7 linked regions of the Oryctolagus cuniculus genome follow. The protein of the gene in region 3 purifies or fractionates together with the protein of the main gene of each other region. This does not show direct contact. Links are inferred from orthologs where the notes say so. Each region holds a gene or a part of one and is shown on either strand. Other genes may lie near its edges. The genes, in order: HSF1, PRKCE, HSP90AB1, CTNNB1, CDC37, EGLN1 and CDK9.

The links.
Region 1: the proteins of HSP90AB1 (region 3) and HSF1 purify together in Homo sapiens (affinity purification with western blotting; 3 studies listed by BioGRID, with this or other methods). This does not show direct contact. The link is inferred for Oryctolagus cuniculus from reciprocal best matches to the Homo sapiens genes HSP90AB1 and HSF1.
Region 2: the proteins of HSP90AB1 (region 3) and PRKCE purify together in Homo sapiens (co-immunoprecipitation; 3 studies listed by BioGRID and IntAct, with this or other methods). This does not show direct contact. The link is inferred for Oryctolagus cuniculus from reciprocal best matches to the Homo sapiens genes HSP90AB1 and PRKCE.
Region 4: the proteins of HSP90AB1 (region 3) and CTNNB1 purify together in Homo sapiens (affinity purification with mass spectrometry; 3 studies listed by BioGRID, with this or other methods). This does not show direct contact. The link is inferred for Oryctolagus cuniculus from reciprocal best matches to the Homo sapiens genes HSP90AB1 and CTNNB1.
Region 5: the proteins of HSP90AB1 (region 3) and CDC37 purify together in Homo sapiens (co-immunoprecipitation; 12 studies listed by BioGRID and IntAct, with this or other methods). This does not show direct contact. The link is inferred for Oryctolagus cuniculus from reciprocal best matches to the Homo sapiens genes HSP90AB1 and CDC37.
Region 6: the proteins of HSP90AB1 (region 3) and EGLN1 purify together in Homo sapiens (affinity purification with western blotting; 4 studies listed by BioGRID, with this or other methods). This does not show direct contact. The link is inferred for Oryctolagus cuniculus from reciprocal best matches to the Homo sapiens genes HSP90AB1 and EGLN1.
Region 7: the proteins of HSP90AB1 (region 3) and CDK9 purify together in Homo sapiens (affinity purification with mass spectrometry; 6 studies listed by BioGRID and IntAct, counting the BioPlex papers as one, with this or other methods). This does not show direct contact. The link is inferred for Oryctolagus cuniculus from reciprocal best matches to the Homo sapiens genes HSP90AB1 and CDK9.

Annotation. Positions count from the first base shown.
Region 1 is NC_091437.1:168,064,881-168,068,633, forward strand, and holds part of HSF1 (heat shock factor protein 1), read left to right. Parts: intron 1-3,293; coding exon 3,294-3,402; intron 3,403-3,634; coding exon 3,635-3,753. UniProt on the Homo sapiens protein: Functions as a stress-inducible and DNA-binding transcription factor that plays a central role in the transcriptional activation of the heat shock response (HSR), leading to the expression of a large class of molecular chaperones, heat shock proteins (HSPs), that protect cells from cellular insult damage.
Region 2 is NC_091433.1:156,695,018-156,698,770, reverse strand, and holds part of PRKCE (protein kinase C epsilon type), read left to right. Parts: intron 1-1,655; coding exon 1,656-1,829; intron 1,830-3,753.
Region 3 is NC_091436.1:125,882,573-125,886,916, forward strand, and holds the start of HSP90AB1 (heat shock protein HSP 90-beta), read right to left. Parts: upstream 3,033-4,344; 5' UTR 2,826-3,032; intron 1,673-2,825; coding exon 1,526-1,672; intron 1,191-1,525; coding exon 984-1,190; intron 901-983; coding exon 741-900; intron 650-740; coding exon 516-649; intron 406-515; coding exon 91-405; intron 1-90. UniProt on the Homo sapiens protein: Molecular chaperone that promotes the maturation, structural maintenance and proper regulation of specific target proteins involved for instance in cell cycle control and signal transduction. Undergoes a functional cycle linked to its ATPase activity.
Region 4 is NC_091441.1:106,483,498-106,487,250, forward strand, and holds part of CTNNB1 (catenin beta-1), read right to left. Parts: intron 3,060-3,753; 5' UTR 3,011-3,059; coding exon 2,998-3,010; intron 2,559-2,997; coding exon 2,331-2,558; intron 2,004-2,330; coding exon 1,750-2,003; intron 1,637-1,749; coding exon 1,398-1,636; intron 1,311-1,397; coding exon 1,109-1,310; intron 116-1,108; coding exon 1-115. UniProt on the Homo sapiens protein: Key downstream component of the canonical Wnt signaling pathway.
Region 5 is NC_091447.1:67,013,901-67,018,339, forward strand, and holds the start of CDC37 (hsp90 co-chaperone Cdc37), read left to right. Parts: upstream 1-1,472; 5' UTR 1,473-1,571; coding exon 1,572-1,673; intron 1,674-4,439. UniProt on the Homo sapiens protein: Co-chaperone that binds to numerous kinases and promotes their interaction with the Hsp90 complex, resulting in stabilization and promotion of their activity. Inhibits HSP90AA1 ATPase activity.
Region 6 is NC_091444.1:50,885,021-50,888,089, reverse strand, and holds part of EGLN1 (egl nine homolog 1), read left to right. Parts: intron 1-1,536; coding exon 1,537-1,604; intron 1,605-2,671; coding exon 2,672-2,736; 3' UTR 2,737-3,069. UniProt on the Homo sapiens protein: Cellular oxygen sensor that catalyzes, under normoxic conditions, the post-translational formation of 4-hydroxyproline in hypoxia-inducible factor (HIF) alpha proteins.
Region 7 is NC_091432.1:231,217,642-231,221,929, reverse strand, and holds the start of CDK9 (cyclin-dependent kinase 9), read right to left. Parts: upstream 2,836-4,288; 5' UTR 2,552-2,835; coding exon 2,103-2,551; intron 1,673-2,102; coding exon 1,591-1,672; intron 568-1,590; coding exon 477-567; intron 382-476; coding exon 215-381; intron 1-214. UniProt on the Homo sapiens protein: Protein kinase involved in the regulation of transcription.

The sequences.
Region 1 (3,753 bases), on a different chromosome or scaffold from region 3:
AAGATCCCTCCCTCCCTCTCAAATAAATACATATTTAAAAATAAAGAGGCCGGCACCGCGGCTCACTAGGCTAATCCTCCGCCTTGCAGCGCCGGCACACCAGGTTCTAGTCCCGGTCGGGGTTCCGGATTCTGTCCCGGTTGCCCCTCTTCCAGGCCAGCTCTCTGCTGTGGCCCGGGAGTGCAGTGGAGGATGGCCCAAGTGCTTGGGTCCTGCACCCCATGGGAGACCAGGATAAGTACCTGGCTCCTGCCTTCGGATCAGCACAGTGCGCCAGCTGCAGCGGCCATTGGGGGATGAACCAACAGCAAAGAAAGACCTTTCTCTCTGTCTCTTTCTCTCTCACTGTCCACTCTGCCTGTCAAAAAAATAAATAAATAAAAATAGATAAATAGAAACAACCATTCTTTTAAAAGAAGGAAGGAAGAAACAAGACTTGGGGAAGGATGAGTTCAAGGACCCATGCCATCTCCCCCGTTCCTGCTGGCTCAGAACTGCTGCGGCCCCTCTGCGTAGACTGCGATCCTGGCACCGCCTCGCCTCAGCCCTGCAGCCTCGTGCCCTCCCCACACCCGATGTCTGGGTTTTTTCCAGAATGCACTTTAAAAAAAAAAAAGTTTCCTTATTTTCATCTACTTGGAAGGTACAGCAGTAGAGAGAGAGAGCTTCTCTCCACCAGTTTACTGCCCAAATGCCCCCAACAGCCGGGGCTGAGCCAGACGAAGCCAGGAGCCCAGAGCTCCATCCGGGTCTCCCCCGTGAGTGGCAGCGCGCCCAGGTGCGTTAGGAAGCTGCGTGGAACTGGAGCTGGTGCCCGGAGGCGGGCTTCACCTCTCAGGTCCTGGGCCCAAGCCCACGTCAGCCTCCCGTCCCCGCCGTCTCCTGAGGCTCTGTCCAGCTCTGGGCCGGGTGGACAGCCCGGCTGGAGGAGGCAGCGGGCCCAGAGCCTCTCTCCTCGTGTCAGGCTCACGGCTGTGAGGGTTCTGTGAAGTAGTGCGATGGGTCACCGGATTCCAGGCATCGCTCTGAGTTAGAGCACAGAGCCCCAGGGACAGAGGGAAGGGGTGCAGTCACCCGCCGAGCAGAGGAGGGAGCTTCAGGCTGCCGCTGCTCCGTGACGTCCTCGGGCCCGAGTCTTGGGCAGGAGCCCTTCATCTGCAGGTCTGCAGGATGCCGTGGGGGGCCCCAGTGCACCCCCGCTGTGGCCGGAGACTGCGTCTGCACGCATGTGGATTCGCACCCTAGGTGAAGTGGGCCAGGTCCTCGCAAGCCAGCTGCCCAGCGCCCACGACGCTTAAACGGGTTAGGTCCCTGGTATGAGCCTCACGTCAAGGAAATCCTCAGCCCCAGCAGGCTCTGCTGGCAGATCCGCTCCCCAGGTGGCCCGGGCCAGAGCCAGGAGCCTGTCCCCCACTCTGCCAGGCAAGTCAGCAGGGCGCTGGGCCCTGCATGGAGCGGCCGGGACTTGGCCCCGCGCTTCTGTGGGTGCAGTGTCCCAGGTGGCAGCTTAGCCCGCTGCACCAAGCGCCAGCTCCTGCGTGGGGGACTTTCTGTTCTGCTTTTCTTTTTTTTAAGATTTATTTTTTATTTACTTGAGAGCCACAGAGAGAGAGAGAGAGGTCTTCCATCTGCTGGTTCACTCCTCAGATGGCCGCCACAGCCAGAGCTGCAAGCCAAGAGCTTCTTCCAGGTCTCCCGCATGGGTGCCGGGGCTCAAGGACTTGGGCCATCCTCTACTGCTTTCCCAGCTGGACCGGAGGTGGAGCAGCTGGGACCTGAGCCGACGCCCATACGGGATGCCGGCACTGCAGGCGGCGGCTCTACCCACCCCTTCTCGCTTGCTTGCTTGCTGGAAACTGGCTGTTGCTGGGCCTGATGGGGCGGCTCTGGAGATGAGACAGTGAGACATCCTCCCTGGAGTTGTGGTCGCTGATTCTGTGCAGCCCCGCGCTGCGTCCTGTGGCCCAGGCAGGGTCTGAGGAAGGGGCTTCGCCTCTCACAGCTCTGATCATCTGACCTCCTCGGCTCCCTTGTAGGAGAGGGCGTGGTCTCGGTGCTGGGGCCCGCCAGCCTCGGGCTTTCCTGGGAGCCTCTCCACACCTCCTTCCCTGCCTGCCTCCTCGGAGCCCGCAAGGTTTCCAGTGCACGCCCTGGGTACCTGCCCTGGCGTCCAGGCCCCCGTAGGTGTCTGGAGCCTCTCCTTGTCTCCTGCCTGCCTCCTCTGCTTGGTGCTCTGTCTCCCCCAGCAAGCTTTGTTGACAGCTGCCTCTGGGGGCAGGCGTGCGGCCTAGAGGCTCAGACACCTCCATCCCATGGCAGAGGCTCTGGCGCCTGACCCCAGCTTCCTGCTAGCGTGAACGGTGGGAGGCCACTGCCCACCTGGGAGACCTGGCTTGAGCTCCTGTCACCTGGTCTCCGCCAGCTCGCGGCAAGCATTTGGGGGTGAATCAGCAGATGGGACAGCTGTCTCTGCCTCTGTCGTCTGGATGCTGCCGTAGACCTGCCCTGGGGGAGCCCCTGTGCAATGGGACAGGCAGCAGAGACGCGCCCCAGCCCCACCTGCCATGCCCAGCTGCAGGGGTGGAGGGAGGCTCGCTGCTGTCGCTGGGGAAGAAGTGTCCCCTCCGCAAGTTGGATTCTGGGGGCGTCGGCCGCGGGGCTCTCCCTGCTGCTTCGGGTCCCTTCCTCCGTCTCTTGCACGCCCCTTGCCGTGTCGTTTTCCTTCTCTCTGGAGTTCAAAAGCAGCTCCAGTTCCTGTCCAGAACCACAGGCCCTTGGTTCTTCCCGGTCCCTGCCTGCTCCTGCTCCCCACTGTGTGGACTCTGCCCCGTCGGAGCCCCCACAGCTGCTCCCAGCACAGACGCTGTGCCAGACCTTCCTCCTGGTGCCTGGGCTGCGCTCAGGAGGACAGAGGGGCAGCGCACCCCGCCACCGTCTGTGCCAGGGGCTGGGGCTGCGTTCCCTCCCCTCCGACGGGAATCGGGCTTGCTCAGTGCCGGCCCCCAGCACGTGGGCCTGAAGGTGTGGCTCTTCTCATCCCAGGTGGGGCCTGGGTGAGGGCCCCGTTTCTGGCCACACGGCCCGGTGCCTCACATCATGGGGCATGTACAGTGCATATGTGTCTGCCGGTCCCCGGGAGACGGTTCCTCCTCCTGCCGTACCCCTCCCCCCGAGCCCCTCCATAGCCCCACCCCATGGGGTGGGAGGGCGCATCACAGAGCTGGCGGGGAAGGGCTGCAGCCATGCTGCCTGGCCCATGCTGCCACGTGTGACCACCCCGTGTCTCCTGCCAGAGCGGCAACAGCTTCCACGTGTTCGACCAGGGCCAGTTTGCCAAGGAGGTGCTGCCCAAGTACTTCAAGCACAGCAACATGGCCAGCTTCGTGCGGCAGCTCAACATGTGTGAGTGCCTGCCGGGCCCCGGCCAAAGGACGGACTCTGGGTTGACCAGTGCAGGATGTGAAGGCCAGCAGCCCGGGCTGGGGGGGAGGTCCCTTCCTGGGGGAAGGGTCCTTGTGGGAGGGGCCGGAGCCAGGAGCTGGGAGACCACAGGGTGCCCCCTAGCCAAGACCGCCAGGCTGCGCCCCAGTCTGGCCTATGGCCTCAGGCAGACCTGCTGCCGCCTCCTGTGCAGACGGCTTCCGGAAGGTGGTGCGCATCGAGCAGGGCGGCCTGGTCAAGCCCGAGAGGGACGACACCGAGTTCCAGCACCCGTGCTTCCTGCGTGGCCAGGAGCAGCTGCTCGAGAACATC
Region 2 (3,753 bases), on a different chromosome or scaffold from region 3:
TAGCTTTGCAGCCAAGAGTCCGCATTTGTGGCTGGCTCTTCTCCAAGCTGTGCCTGGGAAGCCACAGGGATTGCTTTTCTGGGAACTTTGGAGCGAGGAAGCCCTGCTCTAGGGACCAGGCAGCTCCTGGGAGCCCCATGCCTTTGCATGTTCTAGACTCTAGACAGAAGCCAACCTGCAGGGCTGTTGGCTGGCTGAGCTTCCGGCCCACTCCACCCAGCCCCTCACCTACCCTTATCTCAGCCTGGGATCACCGGAGTTTCTGGAAGTGGCAAGAGCTGAAGCAACCACATTCTTTGGAGACTGGCTAAATAAGAAACAGAACCCCGTTCTCGGGCATGGCGTGACGTTGGGATGCGAGCAGAACTCGGTTTATTTTGAGCAAGATTCAAGGGAAACGAGCAGACTCAGAGTTTCCAGGTTTCCATGCCGTGTAGACAGGAGGGCAGCCGGGATGACTTCAGAGCACTTAGCAGTGTCTTAGGGAAGGTCACAGCCATCGGTCGAGCCAGTTTTCAAGTCTCTGTTAGGTGTGGGTGGTGAGACGTCTTCAGGCTGACATCAAAAATCCCCTTATTATGTTTTTGAGTTGCTCTTTTTTAGCTCTGACAACTTACCTTGGGATGCTGTACTTAGGAGTTAGTTATTTAAAAAGAGAAAAAAGGCTCCTGCATTTGTAGGTTATTCCATAGGAAAGTATCAATGGCTAGGAAAGCTTTAAGAAAATGGAAATGTTAATTGGCTCACTGGAGAAAGAGTCCCATTGTAGCTGTGAAGCTATGGAAGCAATGACAAATGTCCCTGCATCAGAACCAGTGATTCTGCTCTGTGGAAAGCAAAAGCGGAAAATTGTAAAACAGACTTAGAAAAACCTTTGCAGAAAGTGGAGGGTTAATATGTTTGTACAGTACATTTGGACAGCCTTGTAAGAATGTTATAACACTGCTGGTCTCTAGACAAAGGAGACAAATAATCCACCCAGGAAGAAATACAATTAGAAAGCAAACACTTTAAAAGTGTCACGGCAAGTTATAACCGCATCGAGATAGCACTGTATACCTTGTAAATGAGCAAAAGCATTTTTAAGTGAAGGCACCCAATGTTGATAGATCAGCACGAAACTAACATGCTGCCATGTTGCTGGTGGTACATTGTATTTCTCCTCCTTTTGGAAAATTGGTTAGGAAATGTGCAGAATATTTAACCCTTCAATTTACTTCTGGGAATTTCTATTTTAAGGATGTAACACAACAGAAGTTCAAAATTTTCTGTACAAAAATACCTAAGGCAATTTATTTATGAATATGTGGTAAGTGGGTAACACGAAGGAAATGACTAAATAAGTCGTGTGGTATTTACTTATTGAGTGTCAGCAGCCATGAAAGAGAAACGCTTATAAAATACTAGTTCTGTTAAATCCTATCCTGTAAAAGTATATGAGCATGTGGGTAATCATTTAACAAATGTGCAAAGCTGTACCAGACAGTGGAAGGAAATATGTTAGAGTGGACAGTTTTCCTAAACAGTTTTTAATCAGTTATAATATTTAAAATGAAAGGGATTCATTTTTTAGAAAGCATGTATGCGGTATCATTCGCGTTGCTTCTTTTGGTCCTTTCGTGCCGGATTGATGGGGCTGTTGTGGTTGGCCACAGGTCATGCTGGCCGAGCTCAAGGGCAAAGATGAAGTGTATGCCGTGAAGGTCTTAAAGAAGGACGTCATCCTCCAGGACGACGACGTGGACTGCACCATGACGGAGAAGAGGATCTTGGCTCTGGCGCGGAAGCACCCGTACCTAACCCAACTCTACTGCTGCTTTCAGACCAAGGTGCGTCTAGATAGAAGCTGGTGATCACCAGCCCGGAGCAGCTCCGTAGGAAGGGCAGTACGGCCTCCTGAGTGTCTTAAGTTTCGGTTTCAGAGCCTCTCCATTGCCTCTCCACACTCGGTGAAGTGGAATGGATTTTCTGCTTGAAAAGACCAGGGAGGATGTGAGGAGCATCCTCTATTTTTAAGGGCATGGGATTTTTCCACTGGAGGTTGTGCTTGTGAAGGGAGGAGAAGAGCCGTAGAACTGTGCAAATAGAGCTGGACAAAGCCAAGTAGCTCAACCCAGGGTGTGCCCTTTGGAAAAACCAAGAGATGTGGTTAATCCGTGTGCTTCTCCTAAGTTTCTGTCCCTTCTCAAATCACTTACCTGCTAAGTTGCTTTCAGGTCACATGAAAAAAGAGGAAAGGCCACCCTAATCGTTTCTAGCTTTGGTTAACGTCAGAGAAGGTACGGGATGTAAACAAATGCTTAAAATTCCACAGTGCAAGACAAACAGGAGCTTGGTGGGGTTTTGATTTTTTTTTTTTCCAATGTGCCATGTCACTGCCTGGGGACCAGAAGATGGCAGTAAAGAAGCGAAGATCATCTGGGGAAGCTGTGCCCCGACCTCTGAGTATCACAACTCATTTGTTGCTTATTCTTAGGACAGAAAGGAAATGCCACCCAGCATTCTTCATGAAGCTCTTGTTTTATTAGCCTTTTTGGGGGGAAGGAGAAAAGGTCTCTTAGGCTACATCTGGATTTGTAGCGTTGGCTTCTTGAGAAAGCAGAGATGACGTCACCTGTGCCTCCTGCCCACCCCCATCCGGAGCCCCGGGCAGAGCAGGGGCGTCCTGGAAGGCGAGTGCGTGCCCTCTGGCAAACTCCTGCCTCTGCCCGGCTGAATCCTGCTTAGATTCCCACGGTTACCCATTTGGTCGTTCAGCAAGTGTTCATGTTCCTGTCTGATACTGGCCTCTTTCTGTGTGCCTGGTGCTGTATCGGGTGCCGGCGCTGTGTGGTGAGCAAGCCCTCGGAGAGTTTGCGGCTCTTTGGTGCACCATTGCTCAGAGGGTATTTCTCAGAACCCTAATCCCTGGAGCAGCTGGGAGCACCGGGCATTCTGTGGCCCGTGGTTTGAGACACTGCAGTCTTGACCTCTGTCACAGAATTTCAACACACATCTGTTTACTGGCATCCCTGAAGAGAACTGCAGTGGAAAAAAAAAAAAAAGATAATCTTTGTTTAATCTACTATTTCCCAACACATTTTATCTCGAGACCCCACCACCACAAACACAACACCTACTCCACACGGAGAAACACGGAGAGATTTTTTTCCAGCCCTCTGCTCGCACAGGGGAATCAGCAGTATCTTCTGCAAACTCTTGAAATCTTTCTGCTTAACCTTCAAGGACACTTCGATTTTATTGTCTGTCAAACTTTCCTCTGAGACTCTTGTTTAATGAGACCTATCCGTTTTCTGAACAAGCACAGGGCTTATTAACCATCCTCATTTTGGATGCGTGTTGTGTAATACCTAGTATTTATGAGGAGCAGCCTGTGTGTATCTGTGTACATAGGCAGAGTCCAGCACACAGTCCAGGCTGGCGATGAGGTGAGCTTTCTTCTCCTCTCCATGACAGCACAACCCTAGATGAAGGAGAGAGATGTTGTGTCCGACTTTTCACTATATTCCTGGAATTATTCCAGGTGTCTTGGCCCAGGGCCTCCTACCTTGTGGGTCTCACTATCAGAATCAAAGGTCTTTTTAAGATTTATTTATTTATTTGAGAGGTAGAGTTACAGACAGGTCTTCCATGTGCTGGTTCATTCCCCAAATGGCTACCATGGCAAGAGCTGGGTCAATCCAAAGCCAAGAGCTTCTTCCAGGTCTCCCACATGGGTGCAGGGGCCCAAGCACTTGGGCCATCTTCCACCAC
Region 3 (4,344 bases):
GTCCTCGGGCAGGGCCATCAGCGATGCTCCCGGTTCTCAGCTGGGCTACCCCCTGCCTCTCCACCCCGGCCCACTCCCAAGGCCTCTCACCTTGACTGCCAAGTGGTCCTCCCAGTCATTGGTGAGGCTCTTGTAGAACTCGCCGTACTCCTCCTGGGTGATGTCATCAGGGTTTCTGGTCCAGATGGGCTTGGTCTTGTTCAGTTCTTCCTGATCGATGTACTTCTCCTTGATCTTCTTGGTTTTCTTTTTCTTGTCCTTGCCGCTGTCATCTTCCTCATCGGAGCCCACATCTTCGATCTTGGGCTTCTCATCGTCCTCCTTATCTTCCTCCTCCTTTTTCTCTTCCCCTTTTTCTTCCTCTGCTTCATCATCACTGATTTCCTTTTCTCTTTCCTTCTCCAACTAAAGCACCCAGAAACACTCGTCAGTTTTGAGCACCGACCCTCAGGGCAAGCAAATGGCCCAGCCCACCAGAAGCACAGGCAGGCTGCCTCCGCGGGAAGCATACTCACGTAGAGGGTGATGGGGTAGCCTATGAACTGCGAGTGCTTCTTCACCACCTCCTTGACCCGCCTCTCCTCCAGGTACTCAGTCTGGTCCTCCTTGAGATGCAGGATCACCTTGGTGCCTCGGCCAATAGGCTCCCCTGCAGACCAGGAGGGCAGGCGGTGAGCGAGCTGCCCCAGGACCGCCTGCTGCACACTCGCCCTGTGAAGCAGCGCCTCCCGGCCACTCACCGTGGTCGGCGCGCACGGTGAAGGAGCCCCCAGCAGAAGACTCCCAGGCATACTGCTCGTCATCGTTGTGCTTTGTGATCACGACCACCTTCTCGGCCACCAGGTAGGCAGAATAGAAACCGACGCCGAACTGCCCGATCATGGAGATGTCGGCACCAGCCTGCAGAGAAGCGGGAACGGTCAGACTCGTGTCCTGCAGAGAACAGAGGCCCGGCCGCACGTCGAGGGCTGGCTGCCACCTACCTGCAGAGCCTCCATGAAGGCTTTAGTCCCCGACTTGGCGATGGTCCCCAAGTTGTTGATGAGATCGGCCTTGGTCATGCCAATGCCGGTGTCCACCAGCGTCAGCGTGCGGTCCTGGGGGCTCGGGATGATGTCGATCTTCAGCTCTTTGCCGCTGTCCAGCTTGGAGGGGTCCGTCAGGCTCTCATAGCGGATCTTGTCCAGGGCCTGCAAGGCAGCACCAACAGCGGATTTCTTAGCCGTCTCTTCAGCGTTAGGAACCTCTTGGATTGCTACTCTCACGCTGTAACTCTGACTGCCCCATCATCCTACACGAACTGTGAACTCTTAGAGTGAGTAATAAACGTGCCATTTAATGGTAACAGAAAATTGCGTCCTTGAAATACCCCTGGAAGTGAGAACCTTGGGCCTCACTGGACTAGGAGCCGCGTGGTCACACTGGCCCGCTCGTCCAGGGAGCACCCGGACAAACCCCTTCAATAGCAATCAGTTTTCCCCCTTCGGGAGGAGCCCAGCCAGCCATGAAACACGAAGGAACTCACATCAGACGCGTTGGAGATCAGCTCCCGCAGGAAGATTTCCTTGTTGGAGTAGAAGGTGTTGATGATGAGAGACATGAGTTGGGCAATTTCCGCCTGGAAGGCGAAAGTCTCCACCTCCTCCTCTCCATGGTGCACTTCCTCGGGCATCTGGAACAGGAGGGTCAAGAATCAGGAAGGTAGCGGCCCCAGAACTGACGCTTCTGAAATTCAGATGGTGTTTAAACTGCTTTGGGCGGGGTTACTGAAGACACGCCCTTTCTTAAAACCTGTGGGGTGAATACTAACAACCACCGAGTCAGGTCAAGAGCAAAGCCCTCCTCAACCAGACAAGCAGGTAGCATGGAGCAGGGGTGACCAGCAGCCGCTCACCACGCTGGTCCCAACCCAGACAAGGGACTCCCGCCCCACGTTCAAACGCCAGCATCACTGACCACACGTCTCTTTGATGTGGGCGCTGGTTTTATTCTCAAACTGCTCGCCCGTAGGCAGCTCTTCTACCCCTGTAGTGTGGATGCGCCCAAGGCCCGATCGCAGCCCCACGCGGCAGGGCACACTGACACCCGAGAAACAGCGGTAACCGGCTCGCGGGGCAGTCCACGCGGGACAAAGAACAGAGCAGGCGAAGGCTGCCCCGTGACGCCCCAGCACCTGCTCGCACCCAAGTAAAATGGTGCCCGGGGCCGCGGACCGACCCTCGTCACTGCCGGACATGCGTCGGCCGCAGCCCCGCGAGAAGGGGGCGCCACAGCGCGCCTCGCCATCGCCCCAGCATCCGGGCACTGGGGCGGAGCATCGGGCTCCAGAAGCTTCGAGAACAATCTCCGCGCTCGGGGAGGGGCGGGGGAGGGAGCCTATGAATCTTCCAGAGCCTGTCCCCTCCCACTCGAGGGCTGCGGAAAAGACCTGCCACACGCCAAATGCGTTTCTGCCCGCGGCGGGTCCCGCACGGACCTCGAGGGCCGAGCAGCAGCGGCAACCCAGGCGCGCAGTGCTGAGTCACCCGCGCGCGGACCCGGCCGCCTCGCGGCCCTCGTAGCCGCGTCCGGAAGTGGAGGGGCAAACATGGCAGCGCCCCGGGCCGGCGCGGCCACCACGTGCAGCCGGCCCCCGCCGCGGCCCCGCGCCGCCGGCCCGGCGCGCCGGTGCAGGCCGACCGGACGCTGGAAAGCCTCCACGCACCACCCCCGCAGCCCGAGCGCGCGGGGACCCACGGGCCGCCCCGCACCGCGGCGTCTGGCTCCCGAGCTGCGCAGCGACAGCACCCGCGGGGGAACGGCCTGCAGGGACGCGGCTGCCTTACCTTGAAGGGAAAGGGCTGCGAGCACGAGAGAGCACGGAGGGCCCGGACTGCCAACCGCACACGGCACGAGGCAGCGCGGGGGTGACTCAAGAGAGCTCTTGGGAGCCCCCAGCCAGCCTATATAAGGCGAAGCACAGCCCAGCCGCCTCCCCCGGATCCCTCCGCCTTAAAGGCGGACGCCCGCGAGCCCCGCACCTGCCGGCGCCCGCCCACCTTGACGTCATGGTCCGGAATAGGGGGCGGGCGGGGAAGAGCCAGAGCCGCCAGCCTCGGTGTGGGCTCGTGAGCTCCTGTTCTCTGCACGGCCAGGGCGTGACCCCTGCCACGATTAGGGACTGAGAGTGCTCATATGCCTCAACAGTGGATCTGCGAGCGAGGACCCCACCGGCTCCCCCAAAAGCCCTCCCACAACCAGGAGGCCGAGCCGACGGGGACTTGAAGCGAGCAGAGGTAGTCACTCCCACCCAGTCGTCTAACTAGGATCTGCCACATATATCCCCCCTCCTCCCGGCGAACGGCCCAGCTGCCTGCAGCCCCCTGGGGCGGGGGAGGGGCGCCGGCCCGGGAGGGAGGGGACTCTTTGCTGGCGTGCGGCGGAAGGAGCGGCGGCAGCGGTGCTGCGGCCACTTCCAGCAGTTTCCAGGCCAGTCTCGGCGGCCCCGCCCCCGCCGCCGCCTCCCCTCGAGGCTCCTCCCCTCGCGCTGCGGCCCGGGCAGTGTAGGTACTGCAGCTCGGGCCGACCCCTGGGCGGAGCGGGTGGGCTGCCGCTGCTCGGCCCTGCTACCCGCCTCGTCCGCCCCCGGAGCGCGGCACTGCCCCGCCGCTGAGGGGCACCTGGCCCTCCGCCTCTCCCGCCGGCCGCACACCTCGGGCAGCGGAAATGTTTTTCGGGCGCCTCCATCCAAGCCGAGACTGGGGGTGCCCATCCCTTCCCGAGCCTTCGCGGCAGCCCCCCAATCCCTAAACACTGGTTGAGGCGCCCTGCTTACAGGGTCACCTCAAGCTATTTCCCAAGCTGGTTTCGGATTTTACGCCCTCGTTCGCGTCTCTAGCTGCGGGGGCAGGGGGAGGGGAGGGTCTCCAGGGACCCCTGCCGGTGGTCGCCTGCCCCGTGGGAACCAAGTTCCTTTGCGACCCTCGGCCATGCGGCAGCCCAGGGAGCCGCGGGTCGCGCCCGCCTGGCCCAATTTGGACCCTTTGCCTGCCTTCCGGCTGCCGGCGGACCTGCCTTTCCCAAGGGTCCCCTGAAAGTCTGCTGGACCCGCGTCCTTCCCAGGAGACCCTGGCCACGCCCTGCTCCGTGCTCCCCAGCCGGCCAGCCCCGGCACCCGGTTCCCCCTCCTTAACCAGCTTTGGCCGCATGCTGGCTTCCAGAGAACAAAGGAGGACCCTTCTTTTCTTTGCGCTGTCCACGTGGTCGTCCCGGCCGTCACTGGGCCAAGGGTCTCTCTCCATGTCCTTGTCCCTTTCACCGCGGTCTGTGAGAAGCCTGTGGCTGGGGGAAGTGAATGGGGTGGGG
Region 4 (3,753 bases), on a different chromosome or scaffold from region 3:
AGCACACAGACAGCACCTTCAATACTCTGCTTGTGGTCCACAGTAGTTTCTCGTAAGTGTAGGTCCTCATAATATTTACTAAAGCTTGGGGTCCACCGCTAGCCAGAATAATCAGCTAGAAAGGTGTGCATATATACTGTTAGTCACTGAACTGAGAAAAGCCACATTTTTACGATACAAGAATTTCAGCTAGCTTGTCAATCCTAAATGCACTCCCGATCCCTTCACTCAAGCCCCCACCGAACTTCCCTTCCTTCAGTATATTCACCCCAAAGCAGGCATCCCAGTCCTCCTAAGGAATCACCAGCCCAACTTCCTTCTACCACAATGATCATAGCAAAGGAAGAGGGAGAAAAAATAAAAACATGCTGCTATACAATATTAATGTTCAAATATAGAGGTTATATCAAAACGGATCAGTTGAAAATTTGACCCAGAACACACACATGCAACTCATTTGGACCCTTTGATTTTTCTGATCATATCCCTTTAAAGAGATACCAAAATCATCACTCACTCTTGCCCTTTACTTTCCTCTATACACCCACCTCCAGATACTGCCTCCATTTTCAGAAACCAGTCTCCACTCTCTGCCTCTGCTGAAAGCAGCTTCCCACTGCCCTTTATAACACGCTCTACAGAGCCCTGGAGTCGGCCCCCACCTCAATTACCTCATCTCTTTTTTGAATTTCTTAAATTCACAAGACTTGCCACACCCTTCCCTTTCTAGGAGCTTCAAAGATGCCATTTTCTCATTTGTCGTCTAATCAATCCCTTCTCATCCTGAAAAGGTGAACTCGATGATTACTTCCTCTGTTAGGTCTCTTTGAACCCTTAAAACAGGTTCTATTTCATCTCTCATGTGCCCTCCCAGCCCTGTAATACAATGTCTATCTCCCACAGAAGAACTAAAGTTCAGAGAGAACACTGCCTCCTGTTAAAAGTGTGCTTAGCATGGTGCTTTAGTCATTCACATACTTAAAGAAATGGAGATGCCCAATTTTCCCAAAACATGAGTGACGCATGGTATGACTGTCAGTTCATGGACTGACATAACACTGCACGGCCTCCAACGCTCCATGAAAGCCACATAAAAACCATTCTTTACCTTGCTTTCTTGATTGCCGTAAGCTAAAATCTGAAGGCAGTCTGTTGTAATAGCCAAAAATTTAACATTTGTTTTGTTGAGCAAGGCAACCATTTTCTGCAGCCCACCAGCTAAACGCACTGCCATTTTAGCTCCTTCTTGATGCAATAAAAGGTTGTGGAGAGTTGTAATGGCATAAAACAATACAGAATCCACAGGTGAGCTGGAAAGAAGGAAAAAGCCTCATGAGAAATGTTATGACTGCATTCTGCTGCTTCTCAGCGTCGGGCACTTGGACCTCTTTCCTTACCCAAGCATTTTCACCAAGGCAGGGATGCCTCCAGACTTAAAGATGGCTAACAAGCCTTCGCGATGATGGGAAAGGTTGTGCAAGGTTCCAGCAGTACAGCGAGCCGTTTCCACATCATTTGTATTCTGCATGGTGCGTACAATAGCAGACACCATCTGAGGAGAACGCATGATGGCGTGTCTGGAAGCTTCCTTTTTAGAAAGCTGATGGACCATAACTGCAGCCTTATTAACCACCACCTATAATTAAGAGACATCATTAGTTTTCTATACTGATACTGGGGAGCCATTTTGAAACAGCTCTCTACAGGTTCCTTCAAAGTGACTCAGAAGCTAGCCATGGCACTGCTTACCTGATCCTCGTCATTGAGCAGTTTTGTCAGTTCTGGGATTGCACGTGTGGCAAGTTCTGCATCATCTTGATAGTTAATCAAGTTGACAACTGCGTGTTTCAGCATTTGGGAAGGCTCGGCCAGACGCTGAACATTAGTAGGATGGGCAGCATCAAACTGTGTCGATGGGATCTGCATACCCTCATCTAATGTCTCAGGGAACATGGCAGCTCGTACCCTCTGAGCTCGAGTCATTGCATACTGCCCATCAATATCTAGGAAAGAGAAAGTCAACATTTACTATCCACGGTTCGGAATTCACTGAAGAGTGTGCTATCCAGAAAGGAAAGGTGACATCCATGACTTGTCACTCAGCATCAGTTGGTCTAATATAAGGGTAAGTGGAGTCAGAGAAGGCAAGGAATTCCAACACTCCCTTCTCTTCCCCACCCACACTACCTTTGATAAGAATTGCAAATTCTCGGGGCCAGCATTGTGGCACAGCAGGTAAAGCCACAACAGGTTAAAGCTGAGTCTTTTTTTAACAAAAATAAATTCTCAAACCTGCATTCTGACTTTTAATAAGGCAGTAACATTCTTACCAGCTACTTGTTCTTGAGTGAAGGACTGAGAAAAGCCCTGCTCCCACTCATACAGGACTTGGGAGGTATCCACATCCTCTTCCTCGGGATTGCCTTTGCCACTCAGAGAAGGGGCTGTGGTGGTGGCACCAGAATGGATTCCAGAGTCCAGGTAAGACTGCTGCTGCCAGTGACTAACAGCTGCTTTTCTGTCTGGCTCCATGGCCATGTCCAACTCCATCAAATCAGCTGTAAAAACCAAACAGTATTAACAATCAGTACGCTGAAAATGTTACCTTAATTTAAAAAAAAATCATGATATAACCCATTGAAATATTTTTAGAAATAAAGTCAAATCTGAAAGACAGCAAAGAAAGCAGAATGATAAGCCAGGATCAGCTCAGTGGCGAAACACCTATGCCCTCAGGGGGAGCACCTACCAGTTACTCACTGAATCAGTGAAGAATGGTACTGCACCCAGGCTCCAGACGCAGTCATCCAGACTAGATTCCTGCTGGTGGCTTGTTTACTATTTCACCAAGCCATTAGGAGGAGTGAGCAGAAAATGGAGCAAAAGGTAGCCTGACAAGTAAGCAGGGAGAGAGGAAAGCAGGGGGATCTGAGCCAGGCTGGGTTCATGGCAAAGAAGCAGAGCCTCAATTCAGCAACCAAGATTTAGGACACAAACCTTGAGTAGCCATTGTCCACGGAGGGTTTTCAAAACAGTTGTATAGCAAACGTCAAGTTACCCTAAAAAAGAGTTAATCGAAAGTTATTAGGATTTAAACTTAACCAGATTTTAACATAAGTCACTGGGATGCCTGCTAGATATCATGGACCATGCCCTAAAAACACCAAAACCTCTTTCACCACATGATACATGTGCAACAGACCTAGGATCTCCTCACTGCCGAGTATCTAAGTCCAAGTTCCTCCTGGACACACACCTCTTCTCAGTAAAGTATAAACGACGGCTAGTCAGGATGGTGATGAGAAAGCACGAAAACTCTAATGCTGAAAGCAGGGAGAAAAAAGCCTATGCAAAAATCAACGTCTCAGAATTCCTGAGGGTCTCTTCTTTTTTAACCTCACTGAAAACGTCAAAGATTCCCCTTTGGACAGTAGAGGTCCAATGGGATTTTAAAAACACTACATTTTCAATTAAACAAGTCAGCTGTTTTCTAATTTAACACAGGTAACCGAATATACCTTTATAAAGCAGATTTTGGTGAACAGATCAAAACAGTGAATTTTAGAGTTTTTACAAATAAAACTACTTTTCTAATAAAGTCTGCAACATAAAAGCATGTTTGCTAGTGAAGGTTTTCTAATTTCAAATTTATAGTAATTTGATTACAAGTATCAACACACATCTTACCAATGAAGATATTATTTTGATCAATATAAAAATTTAATTTCACATAAAAAAAAATCGTAGCATTTG
Region 5 (4,439 bases), on a different chromosome or scaffold from region 3:
GAAGGGGGCTGGGGAAGGGACGCCCCGCCCTCTCCGGCGGGGGGAGGGGGCGGGAAGGGACTGGGGTGCCCAGACCCTTTGTTTGCTGGTGTGTGAGTGTGAGTGTGAGTGTGTGCGCGCGGCGGTGAGACCCGCCGGGGTGTGAGTCCGTGCGCGCGCGTGCTCGGGCCGTGACGGCCACGGAGGAGCTGGACTGGCGGCTGGAGGGGGGGAGGGGGAAGCGACGGGGACTCCCCCGCCCCCGCCCGCCCACTCGCGGGTTTGAATGAAAAGCGAGGGGGAGGGGCGGCGGAGGGAGGGCGCTTTTGGTCCCGATGGCCACTCCCCCTCCCCAACGGGCCGGGGAATCCCTCCCCACCCCCACCCCCATGGAGCGATTTTTATTCTCTCCAGGGACCCCCCACTATCTACAGAGGCTCTGCGAGGAACTGGGGAGAGGCGTCCCAGACACAGGTGGCCGGAGCTCCTCCAACTCCACTTGACCCTCGCGGAGCACCCCTTAATCTGAGATAATCCTGGCCCGAGGCTGCAACACGGCCTTTTATCCCTGCATCCGAGAGTGGGTGGAGCCGTGGAGCAGCGCGCGGCCCAGCTGCCCCGAGCTCGGGGCAGTGGCATCCTGAAGCCGTTCTGGCCGAGGGGAGGGGTCCCAGCCGAACGGGGAGGGGCGACGAGCAGCCCCAGACCCGGACGACGAGGAAAGCCCCCTACCGCCCCTCCCCAGTCCCCTACTGGGCCGGAGGCCAGCAGCACTGGCCACTAGCTGGACATTTGGCGACACCCAGCGGCCGTGCGTGGGGACGCCACGCAGGGCGCCCGAAAACCTTTTGGGTGATTCCAGAGGGGGGGTGTGCGCGCAAGTCGTCTCTCACGAGTGGCGGGCACCGGGGGCTGTGTGTGGTCCCAGCGCGGGAAACCCTGCCCTACCGTCGACCCCCTCCCCTCCCCGCCACGTAGGACAGGATCTTACCGCCGCTCGCTTAGACCCCTCCACCACGGCAGGGTCTCGACCCCCCCTACTCGAACTGGGGAGTCCCCTCGGGTCTCGTGCCCCTCCCTAGCCCGGAATCCAGTCCCCCACCTTCAGGGGAGCTGGGTGGGGGTGGGGGTGGGTCTTCGAGTCGAGGCCCCGCCCCTGCGGTGGCCTCGGGCTGATGTCACTGCGGCTTGGCCAACGGGACAATCCAGCCCCTCAGTCTCGTCAACTGCCCCAGCGCAAACGCCCCCCGGGGAGGGGGCGGCAGGAGATGAGAGGCGCTCCTGGCTGCCGCGCTGCCCTGTAGGCCCCCCAGGAGGTGCCGGGCAGAGTCTCCCTGCCCAACGAGGCGGGGTCTCGGCGGGAACTCCCTGGCCCCTAACACGTGCGCAGGTCCCTTTAAGGCGGGCTTGGTCGCCAGGGCCGCCGCCGCCGTTACCAGGGATGTGACGTCACGCGCGGGCGGGGGCTGCGCGCGCGGGCGGAAGCGGAAGGGGCGGGGCTCCGCGGGCCGAGTGTCCAGCGCTGCCGCCGCCGCCGCCGCCGCCGCCGCCGCCGCCGCTCGAGCGGGCGCGGGCTGGGCCGTGGAGGCAAGATGGTGGACTACAGCGTGTGGGACCACATCGAAGTGTCCGACGATGAGGACGAGACGCACCCCAACATCGACACGGCCAGCCTCTTCCGCTGGAGGCACCAGGTAGAGCGCGCGTGCCCGGCCCCTGCCCCCTTTCCCGGGACCGCTCCAGAGTTCTGACCGCGGGTACTGCCCAGGGGACCCCGCGGTTGTTGACGCCCGGGATTCCAACCTCACGGTTTGGAGTTTCCCGCCCCTCGATTCCACGCCGGGGCTCGGGGAGCGCTGGGACCCCCACCCCCACCCACCCCCAGTCCCTGCGCGCGACCCCTGGGGCCGCCTTCGGATTCTGCACGGGTCTCTATTAACCCTTGAGACGCCCTCGGTCTGTGTATTCCCAGGGCCACCGGGGGGGGGGGTCCCTCGCCTGTAGGAACCTCTGCCGGCATCTGAGGACACCCCACCCCGCCTCACCCCTGCCCCCAGCCTCATCAACCCTGGGACGGGCAGGTGGTCCCTGCTGGCAACTCAGGGACCCCATGGTCACCACCCCCTCTTTGACGTATTTGCCCACGACAGAGCCCCCAGAGCCAGACCCCAGAATCCTAGCCGTGAGCAGCCCGTGGCTTCCCACCCATCCTCCCGCCCGGAGGTGCTCACCCCGCAGCTCGCACGGAGCGCGCACCTCCCAGAAGCTTCCAGTAGGAATTCCCGTCCCGGGCCTCCCTTCTGGCAGACCTGTATCCAGAAAGCCCTAGAAGGGCCCTGCCCCATCCTTCCGGGATGTGGCCTGGGGCCTGCTTCTGCCTCCCGGGCCCACCCCCAAACCTTTCCTTAAAGCGGCCGTCTCCTGGGGCGTGCACCTGCTGTGCGGGAGTGTGGGAAGAAAGTTCCAGCCCTTCTAGTTCTATTTATTATGAAATATTTAAGACCTCCGCAAGGCTCCCCAGACTATTTCTGTCGCGTAAAGAGGTTAATCTTTACTCTGGCGTGGAGAGCGGGGTGGGGGCCGCCCCATTTCCTGGCCGGCTGCTGTGGAGGAGGGGCGGGGTGCCCGCCCAGCCCCCAGCCCCCTCTCCAGTTTGCGAGGTGGGGGGAGGTTTGTGATCTCTCTGAGCGCTGCAAAGCTGAGCTAACGCGGCGCCCGCTTCTGGAAAGATCCTGGTGCAGAGACTGGGATGGAAAAGTTAGAGGTGGCCTGGTGGCTGCCACTCTGGGTTCCCGGAGAGGTGGGCGTTTGCCCGCCGCCCTGGGCTCTGCACCCACTGCCGGCTCCGGTTCCCACTGCCCTTCCCACTGCCCCGGGAGGCAGCAGGGACGCCTCAGGGCCCTGGGCCCCCGCCACCCACGTGGCGGACTTGCTTTGAGTTCCTGGCTCCCGGCTTCAGCCTGGCCCAGCCCCAGCCCTTGTGGGCATTTGACGTGATGATGGACTAGCAGCTGGGAACTCTGTCTCTGCCTCTGAACTTTAAAAGATGGAGGCCGGCGCCGCGGCTCACTAGGCTAATCATCCGCTTGCTGCGCCGGTACCCCAGGTTCTAGTCCCGGTCGTGGCGCCGGATTTTGTCCCGGTTGCCCCTCTTCCAGGCCAGCTCTCTGCTGTGGCCCGGGAGTGCAGTGGAGGATGGCCCAAGTGCTTGGGCCCTGCACCCACATGGGAGACCAAGAGAAGCACCTGGCTCCTGGTTTCGGATCAGCGCGGTGCGCTGGCCGCAGTGGCCATTGGGGGATGAACCAACGGCAAAGGAAGACCTTTCTCTCTGTCTCTCTCTCACTGTCCACTCTGCCTGTCAAAAAAAAAAAAAAAAGAAAAAGAAAAGTGATATTGCTTATTTTGTTGCCAAAAATTTGTAACCAGGAATAGTCCTTTCGAGGCACTGGTTTTCTGTGAACTTTTTGAATCCAACTTATATGCCTGAATTTCAGACTTTTTGCACCCCGCTAAAGTTGCCTTTTGAAAGATTTATTTACTTTGCTGAGCCAATTTTTTGGTGAAGACTTATTTAATTTTAAAGATTATCCATTTCTTCTTTTAAGTTTTTTAATTTAAGATTTAGTTTATTTGAAAGGCAGAGTTACAGAAGGAAAAGGAGAGATGGAGCCGGTTTGCTCCACAAATGGCTGCAAGAGCCAGGGCTGGGCTGATCTGAAGCCAGGAGCCAGGAGCTTCCTCCAGGTCTCCCACGCGGGTGCAGGGGCCCAAGGGCTTGGGCCATCTTGCACTGCTCTCCCAGGCCACAGCAGAGAGCTGGATCAGAGTGGAGCAGCCGGGACTCGAACTGGTACCCATAAAGGTGCTGGCGCTTCAGGCCAGGGCTTTAACCACAGCACCAGCCCCAAAAGTTATCTTTTATAATGTCATTTCTCCATGAAATTTTTTTTAAAGATTTTATTTATTTATTTGACAGGTAGAGTTACAGACAGTAAGACAGAGAGAAAGGTCTTCCATCCGTTGGTTCAACCGCCAAACGGCCACAATGGCCGGAGCTGCACCGATCCGAAGCCAGGAGCCATGTGCCCCCTCCTGGTCTCCCGTGCGGGTGCAGGACCCAAGCACTTGGGCCATCCTCCATGAATTTTTGAAGCAGCATTCCAGGCGTGGCCAGTTGGGTTGGATTCAGCTCCTGGATTATTGGCACGCCAGCCAGCCGCTCGCTAGCTCTGGATCCAAGCGTATGCCCGGGACCCAACCCGTGGGGGTCGATGCCAGGGTTTCCTGATTTATGGATTTTTAAAGACGTGTTTATTGGAAAGGCAGAGTTGACAGAGGAGGAGAGAGTCCATGTGCTGGTTCCTTCCCTAAATGGCTGTGACAGCAGGGCTGCTCCAGCTCTGCCCTCTGGCTTTCCTGATGCGCGGCCAGAGCTCAGATCCTCGGGCTCTCGCCTG
Region 6 (3,069 bases), on a different chromosome or scaffold from region 3:
AGTGCCTGCCTCTACCTCCCACTGCAGACTCTTTAAATGTTTTCTGACCCAGAAACTGCTTCATAGACCTTCTTTTCAATGAGATTTTGAGCTTGGTTTGATTGTATCCTTTTTAGATGAATAAATAACAGTTTGAAATAGTAAATCAGTGTCAACTCGTGTGGAACATAAGTACTCTGGGACCTGAGAGAAAGAGGAGGTGGTGTTAGACTGAGCAGTAAAGAGGCCAGAAGCCCAGCCGCGTTAGTGCAGCTCTGAGAAAGGGCAAGATCGTCCTAGTCGTGGTGAGGAAATTTGTGAGGAAAACGATAAGGCTGGCGAGTGAGAACGGCAGGTGGTGGGTTACAGTTGTTTCCTGGTAAGGACTTGGGGCTATGGTGGGAGGTGATCCAGAAATTAGAACTCTTGATTACTAAGTCACATGGACAGAAGACAGATATATCTGAGCCCTTTCCTATTACCAAGGCCACCAGAAAAAAATAGAAGAGGCCACCTGGCAAGAAAGGTGTTGAACTCTAGACAAAGCAGAGTGTGGCAGTCAGCAGACCCGTCTCTGATCGCAGCTCTGTCCTTCTCCAGTGAGAGATCCGCACCTCAGTCTCCTCGAGTTGTCCAGGTGCTCAGGTTCTGACTCAGCTCTGCATTTGGCTGTTTACTTCAATATGCTTCCTGGTTTAGTTTTGTCACATATACGGGGTCATCATTCGATCATGCTTGCCCCCCATGACCATTGACTAGAATTTGTAAGATATTTTAACTAATTGTTGCACTCTACTGAAGAATTAACGATTTGTGCCATGCCCTCAATTTTATAGTGTCTGTACATTTTCCCCCTTGCTCCTATCAGAAGATCTAACATGTACTATTTTATAAACTGGTGATGCCTCATTTATTTTTGGAATAAGATAGTCCAATTAAGTGTAATTTTCTGAAAAATGAAGTTAGCTACACTTTAAACCTCAGAACATAGTATAATTGTTTTGATAAAAATTCTAGAAAAGTCTTAGTATAATTTAACTCCTCTTGATGACTCAGGTTATAATTAAAAACATCCATCATTCCACTTTGCTATAATGTAATATGATATTCTCAGAAGCTTTTGAGACTTACTCTCCTTTCACTAAAGGCCCCAGGCTGCTGTGTATGGAATCCTTTTCTGTTTCTCACTTTTTCATTTAGTACTTCTGCTATGGATAATGTGCTGTTTCTGTAATAGCCATTCTTTTACCCTTTTGTTATCTGTTTCTGCTCTGTGGTGGGGTTGCAAAAAAGATAGTCAAGCAGTTTAAACAGATGTTTAAAAAGTCATAAATACTCAACTTTGTGACATCAATTTTAGCCTCTCCTGGTTCTCTGCTATACTCTTCAGTGTTGAGGCTACTGGAAAAGTGAGTTGTTGTACTCATTTGTCCTTTAGTATCATTCAAGTTTAGGCATAATTTTGGCATCACAAGTTTTAATATACCATCATAACAGCATACCACTACCCTACCCCCCAATGTGATCATTCTTACCCTATTCTAAATTTTCTTTTAGGTACGCAATAACTGTTTGGTATTTTGATGCAGATGAGAGAGCACGAGCTAAAGTAAAATATCTAACAGGTAAACATCATTTGGGGCCAGGGTATACTGGAACAAAAGTACCCTGCCATCAGGTGGTGCTTTCAGTAAATTCAAGTATAGTCTTTTTTAACACCATGAATAATTCTTGTTTTTGTCAGATTCATTAATTCCCTTTCTTAAAAAAGGACTTCCCTTAATGTCATCTTCATTATTATATTTAGCCTACAAAATTGCCAAAAGATTAGGAAAGTTTGAGGCAAAATCTGAGTAATTATTCAGTTATCGTCCAAGTTTTTCTGTGATTATCCTTTTCAGTCACAGGGGACTTGACTCTTGTTAATGGCCATCTGGCTACCTCTCGTTTGCCCCCAAGAAGGCAGTAAATATCCTTTCCTTTTTTAAGCATACATACTCTTAAAAAATATCCTCGATCTTCCATGTTCAATAGGGACATGAAGAAAGTTAATATAAAGGAGGTAAATTGAAATGCCAAAATGAGTGAATCAGCTTAGGCATGTGGACTGCATTATCTCCAGTGGTATACACAGACAGGTCAGCACACTTGTACCGAACCTGAAGATTCTTCGTTACACCAGTTCTCCTCTGCCCCCGCTCATGGACTCTCTCTTCTAGAGCAGTTGGTCTCAGTTTCCCATCTGATGGACCACTCGCTTTCTTTTCTTTAACCCTACCTGTATATCCAAAAGTCCATTAAGTGTTCACATTACTGATTAGCCATATTTTCATGAGCCATTGATAATCCCACTTCAGGCTTTTATAAACAACATACAAATTGAATGTTGATGGATTTTCTATGTATTTTTAAAGTAGTTATTTGTGGCAGAGCCCACAAATAATTGCTTTTTAAAATAAAAAGGAGACGAAATCATTCTCTATACAGAGGATGGTTTTACCCTTAAAGGTTTTACTAGTTGAAATGAATGCCTTCATCATAATAGAACACCACTGATAACATTTGGAAGTGCAAGTATAAAAGTTTTCAGATGATGTTGGTCCATACTGTTGGGAATTCAGTGGGAAGCAGTAGCAGAAGCTCTCTGGTGCCTAATGAATAAATGAATTTTATCTATTTTTTTACCTTGCAGGGGAAAAAGGAGTGAGGGTTGAACTCAATAAACCTTCTGATTCAATCAGTAAAGATGTCTTATAGAGCCTCTCATCCAGCAATACCCTCAGTTCACTACAATAATTGTTGACACTGTTTGTTAACTTGTGAATACAAATAAATGGGATAAAGAAAAACAGACAACCAGTCGGCATTTTAATAAGGAAAAGATACAACTGCTTTGTGTTGCATCAAACAGGAAGATTTTGACTGCTGTGACTTTGTACTGCATGATCCACTCCGAATCTGTGACTGCTTATGGGAAGAAGATAAGCTATCAGTTGAAAATGGTTTTTACATCTGGACATGAAATAAGTGCCCTGTGCAAAATTTTTTCATTCTTCTATTTTGTCCGATCTGTCATCTAGCTGAGTTCAT
Region 7 (4,288 bases), on a different chromosome or scaffold from region 3:
CCCCCTCCCGCCCCCGCCCCGCCCACCTTGTTCCTGTGGATGTAGTAGAGGGCGCTCAGCGGCCCCCCCGGCCCCGCCCCCGGCCCCCCCGCGGCCCCGCCCCTCCCCCGCCCCGCCCACCTTGTTCCTGTGGATGTAGTAGAGGGCGCTCAGCGGCCCCCCCGGCCCCGCCCCCGGCCCCCCCGCGGCCCCGCCCCTCCCCCGCCCCGCCCACCTTGTTCCTGTGGATGTAGTAGAGCCCGTTGAGCAGCATCTGCATCACCCTCTTGATCTCAGACAGCGTGAACTTGACCAAGACGTTGCTGAGCAGCCCCGCGAGGTCGTGCTCGCAGAAGTCGAACACCAGGTAGATGCTGCCCTTGCAGCGGTTATAGGGAGAGGCTGAGGGAGAGAGGGGTCAGGACACCCCCGCCCCCCCGCGCCCGCTCAGGCCGGCCGGCCGAGCAGGCAGGGCCCTGGCCCCCGGCCGCCCGCACCTTTGGTCCGGCAGATCTCGATCAGGTTCACCACGTTCTCGTGCTTCAGCAGCTGCAGGATCTTGATCTCCCGCAGGGCCGTGATGGGGAACTGGGGGAGGGGAGGGGAGGGGGGCCGTGAGCAGGGGGGCCGTGATGGGGAACTGGGGGAGGGGAGGGGAGGGGGGCCGTGAGCAGGGGGGCCGTGATGGGGAACTGGGGGAGGGGAGGGGGGCGTGAGCAGGGGGGCCGTGATGGGGAACTGGGGGAGGGGAGCCGTGAGCAGGGGGGCCGTGATGGGGAACTGGGGGAGGGGAGGGGGGCCGTGAGCAGGGGGGCCGTGATGGGGAACTGGGGGAGGGGAGGGGAGCCGTGAGCAGGGGGGCCGTGATGGGGAACTGGGGGAGGGGAGGGAGGGGAGGGGAGCCGTGAGCAGGGGGGGCCGTGATGGGGAACTGGGGGGGAGGGGAACCATGAGCAGGGGGGGCATGATGGGGAACGGGGGGGGGGGAGCCGTGAGCAGAGGGCCCATGGCAGGGCTGTGATGGGGAACGGGGGGGGAGGAGCGGTGAGCAGGGGGGCCGTGATGGGGAACTGGGGGGACGGGGGCAGGGGGACCGTGAGTGGGGGGTGGGCGCCATGGCTGGAGCACAGGGGTGAGAGCAGCGGGCCCATCTCAGGAGCCGGTCTGAGCCCAGGACCGGGGACAGCCATCGGCGGAAACACCTCACAGTGTCGAGCTGCGAGGCCCGGCGGCGAGCAGGGTGGGGGCTGCCTGGGGGGGCAGCGCTGTCAGCCGCCCGCCCCGCGTCAAAATCCCTTTGAAGAACCACGTGCGCGTTTTCCCTTCCAATTAAACAAGATGGAAACTCAGAGGCTGAAAGGCTTCCGAACGCTCTGCGCGGACGCCAGGGCAGGCGTGAGCTCCCCACCGGCCCAGCCGCCGTTCCAGGAGAGAACCAGGCTGAGCCCGGGCCAGATGCCTCGCAGCATTTCCGAGGCCACCACAAACTCGATCTCAGCCCGGGACTGCCCGGGGACGCACGGAGCCCGGCGCGGGGCAGCGCGCAGCCCGGCCGCCCGGGGACGCACGGAGCCCAGCGCGGGGCAGCCCGGCCGCCAGGCCCGTACTCACCCCCTCCTTCTCGTTCTCCATCAGCACTTTCTTCAGAGCCACCTTCTGGCCAGTCTGGCGGTGCTTGGCCTTAAACACCTCCCTGCAGGCCGACAGGGAGACCCTAGAGCTCACCCGCCGGGTTCCGCAGCGCCCGCCCGCCCCTCCCCCGCGACAGGAGGGGCGGCTCCGGGTGGGGCCGGGGCCCGGGCCGCGCGAGCCGCGCCCCTGCCGCCCGGCACCTGCAGGCTCCCTCCGGGCCCCGGCGTGCACCCCCCGGCCCCTTCTCTCCCCGGAGGCTCGCGGAACATCGCTGCGCTCACAGGCCCCGCTCTGCAGCCCCTCCTAGCGCCCCCCCAACACCGGCCTCAAGCTCCTCCCCGCCCGCCGGCGCCGCGCGGCCTAGCGAGACCAGGGCACAAGCCGAGGAGTCGGCGGCCGCCCGACCTCCTCTGGCCGGGCCCCGGACGTCCCGACGTCGGCCCCGAGGGGTGCAGGCCCAGAGCTCCCGGCCCCTTGGGGCCTAGCCTTACCCAAAGGTGCCTTGGCCGATCTTAGCCAGCTTCTCGTATTTGGTCACTTCATCGCAAAACGGACACTCCACCGAGTCGTACTGCTTTGCCATGGCCGCTTCCAGCGCGCCGCCGCCGCCGCCGCCGCCGCCCCCCGCCGCAGCCGCCGCCGCTCCCGCCCCGGGCCCTGCAGCCGCGCTCCAGGCCCCTCCGCGGCCGCGCCACTTCCGCTTCCACGGCCACTTCCGGCCTCGCGGCGCCGACCCCGCCTCTTCCGCCCGCCGCCCGCCGCCAGGCCCCCTGGGACTTGTAGTTCCCGGGAGGCCAGGGGGAGCCGGAGCTGCAGAGGCGCCGCCGCCGCCGCCGCTGCCCCCGCCGCCGCCGCCGCCCGTGCTGGCGGCTGCCCCGATCGGGGGCGCCGGGAGCCGGGGCGCTGGGGCTGGGGCTCGGGGCGGTGCGTCCCGCTGCATCGGCCCAGGCCGCCGCTGCTGCCGAAGCTGCTGCAGCCGCTCGGGCGCCCGATCCGGGGCCAGCCGCAGTGCCCTGCTCCTCCTCCTCCGACGGCGCCGCCTCCGCCGGGCTGCGCTGGGCGGCGGGCGAGGGGGGGCCGCCCCCGAGCCGCGGCCTGGGGGCTCCCTGGCCGGGGCTCGGGCCCGGGGCTGCCGGGCGAGGGGGCGAGACGCGGAGAGCCGACAAGGAGGCGGCCGGAGAGCCCAGGAGGGGGCGCGTTATGAAGGGGGAGGCGCCCCGGCCTCGCCCTCCCCTCCCCCTCTGCCCGCCCCCTCCCTCCGCCCACCCTCCGCGGCCGCACCTGCCGCCGCCGCCGCCGCCGCCGCCGCCTGCCCGCCCGCCCGCTCGCTGTCGGCCGGCCGCCCTCGGCGCGTCACCGCCCGCGGCCCCTCCTCTGTCTTCGGAGGTGGGGCCCCGCGCTCCACACCTGGCTGCGGGGCGCCCTGCCGCGTGCCTCAGTTTACCCCCACTGCCGGCTGCCGCGCGGGGCCCCCGCCTCCTCGGCTCCGAGCGCTCCCCCAAAGGCGGAGGCAAGAGGCGCCCAGGGAGCGAGAACCACCCCCGCCGCCGCCGCCGCCGCCGCCCCCGGCCCCGGCCGCCCGCCGTTGACATGGCAACCGACAGCCGCCAGGGGGCGCGGCGACACTGGCGGCGGCTTCGAGCCAGGCCCGGTCCTCTGGAGCCTCGCCCCCCACCCCACCCCCGTTCTCCGGGAGGAAGGGTCGAGACCCCGACGAGCTGCGCCGGAGCTGAGGGACCTGGGGTCGGTACTCGCAAAAGCACCTAACGTGTATGTCTGCTCAGGGAGTGCTGGCCATTCCTGCCGAATCCTGAGTGCACGGCGACCCATTTTACAGAGGAGGACGTTGAGGCCCGGGGTGTTAGCCCTTGTCACCAAGTGACAGAGCTGGGGTCCGGACCCATCCTCCTGAACCTGAAGCCTTCTAACCCACGCCACTGCAGGCCTGCTGTCCCGGCACAGGCACCAAGCCCGCCATCCACCTGGCGCCCCTCCTGTCCCCGCCCCTGCCCGCATCCCACCCACTCTCTCTCCCTCTGTCTCCCTCTCCTCTCTCTCTCCCTCTCTCCCTCTCTCTCCCTCCCTCCCTCTCTTCCTCTCTTCCTCTCCCTCCCTCTCTTCCTCTCTCCCTCTCCCTCCCTCTCTCCCTCTCTCCCTCTCCCTCTCTCCCTCTCTCTCCCTCCCTCCCTCTCTCTCTCTCCCTCCCTCCCTCTCTCCCTCTCCCTCTCTCCTTCCCTGTTTCCCTCTCTCCTCCCTCTCTTCTCTCTCTCTCTCTCCTTCTTTCTCTCTCCCTCTCTTTCCCTCTCCTTCTTTCTCTCTCCTCTCTCTCTCTTTCCCTCTCTCCCTCTCCCTATTTCCCTCTCTCCTTCTCCCTCTCTCCTTCTCTCTCTTTCTCTCTCTCTCTCCCCTCAGGCCCCAGGAGCTCTGCCCAACGAGCAGCCCCCAGCAGAACTGGCTTTTGTGCCTCAGCTGCTCCCCTTGTCCCCTCCCCTCCCCCTCTGCCCTCTGCGTGGCTCCTGAGCTCCCCAGGCTGGCCTGCCTGCCTGCCTGCCTGCTGTCTCCCTCCCAGCCAGGATGCGTGCTGCAACTCCACCATCTACCATCTCCTGTTTAAAATCCCGAGTGTGGGGCCAGCGTGTAAAGCTGCCGCCTGGGATGCCAGCATCCCATGTGGTCG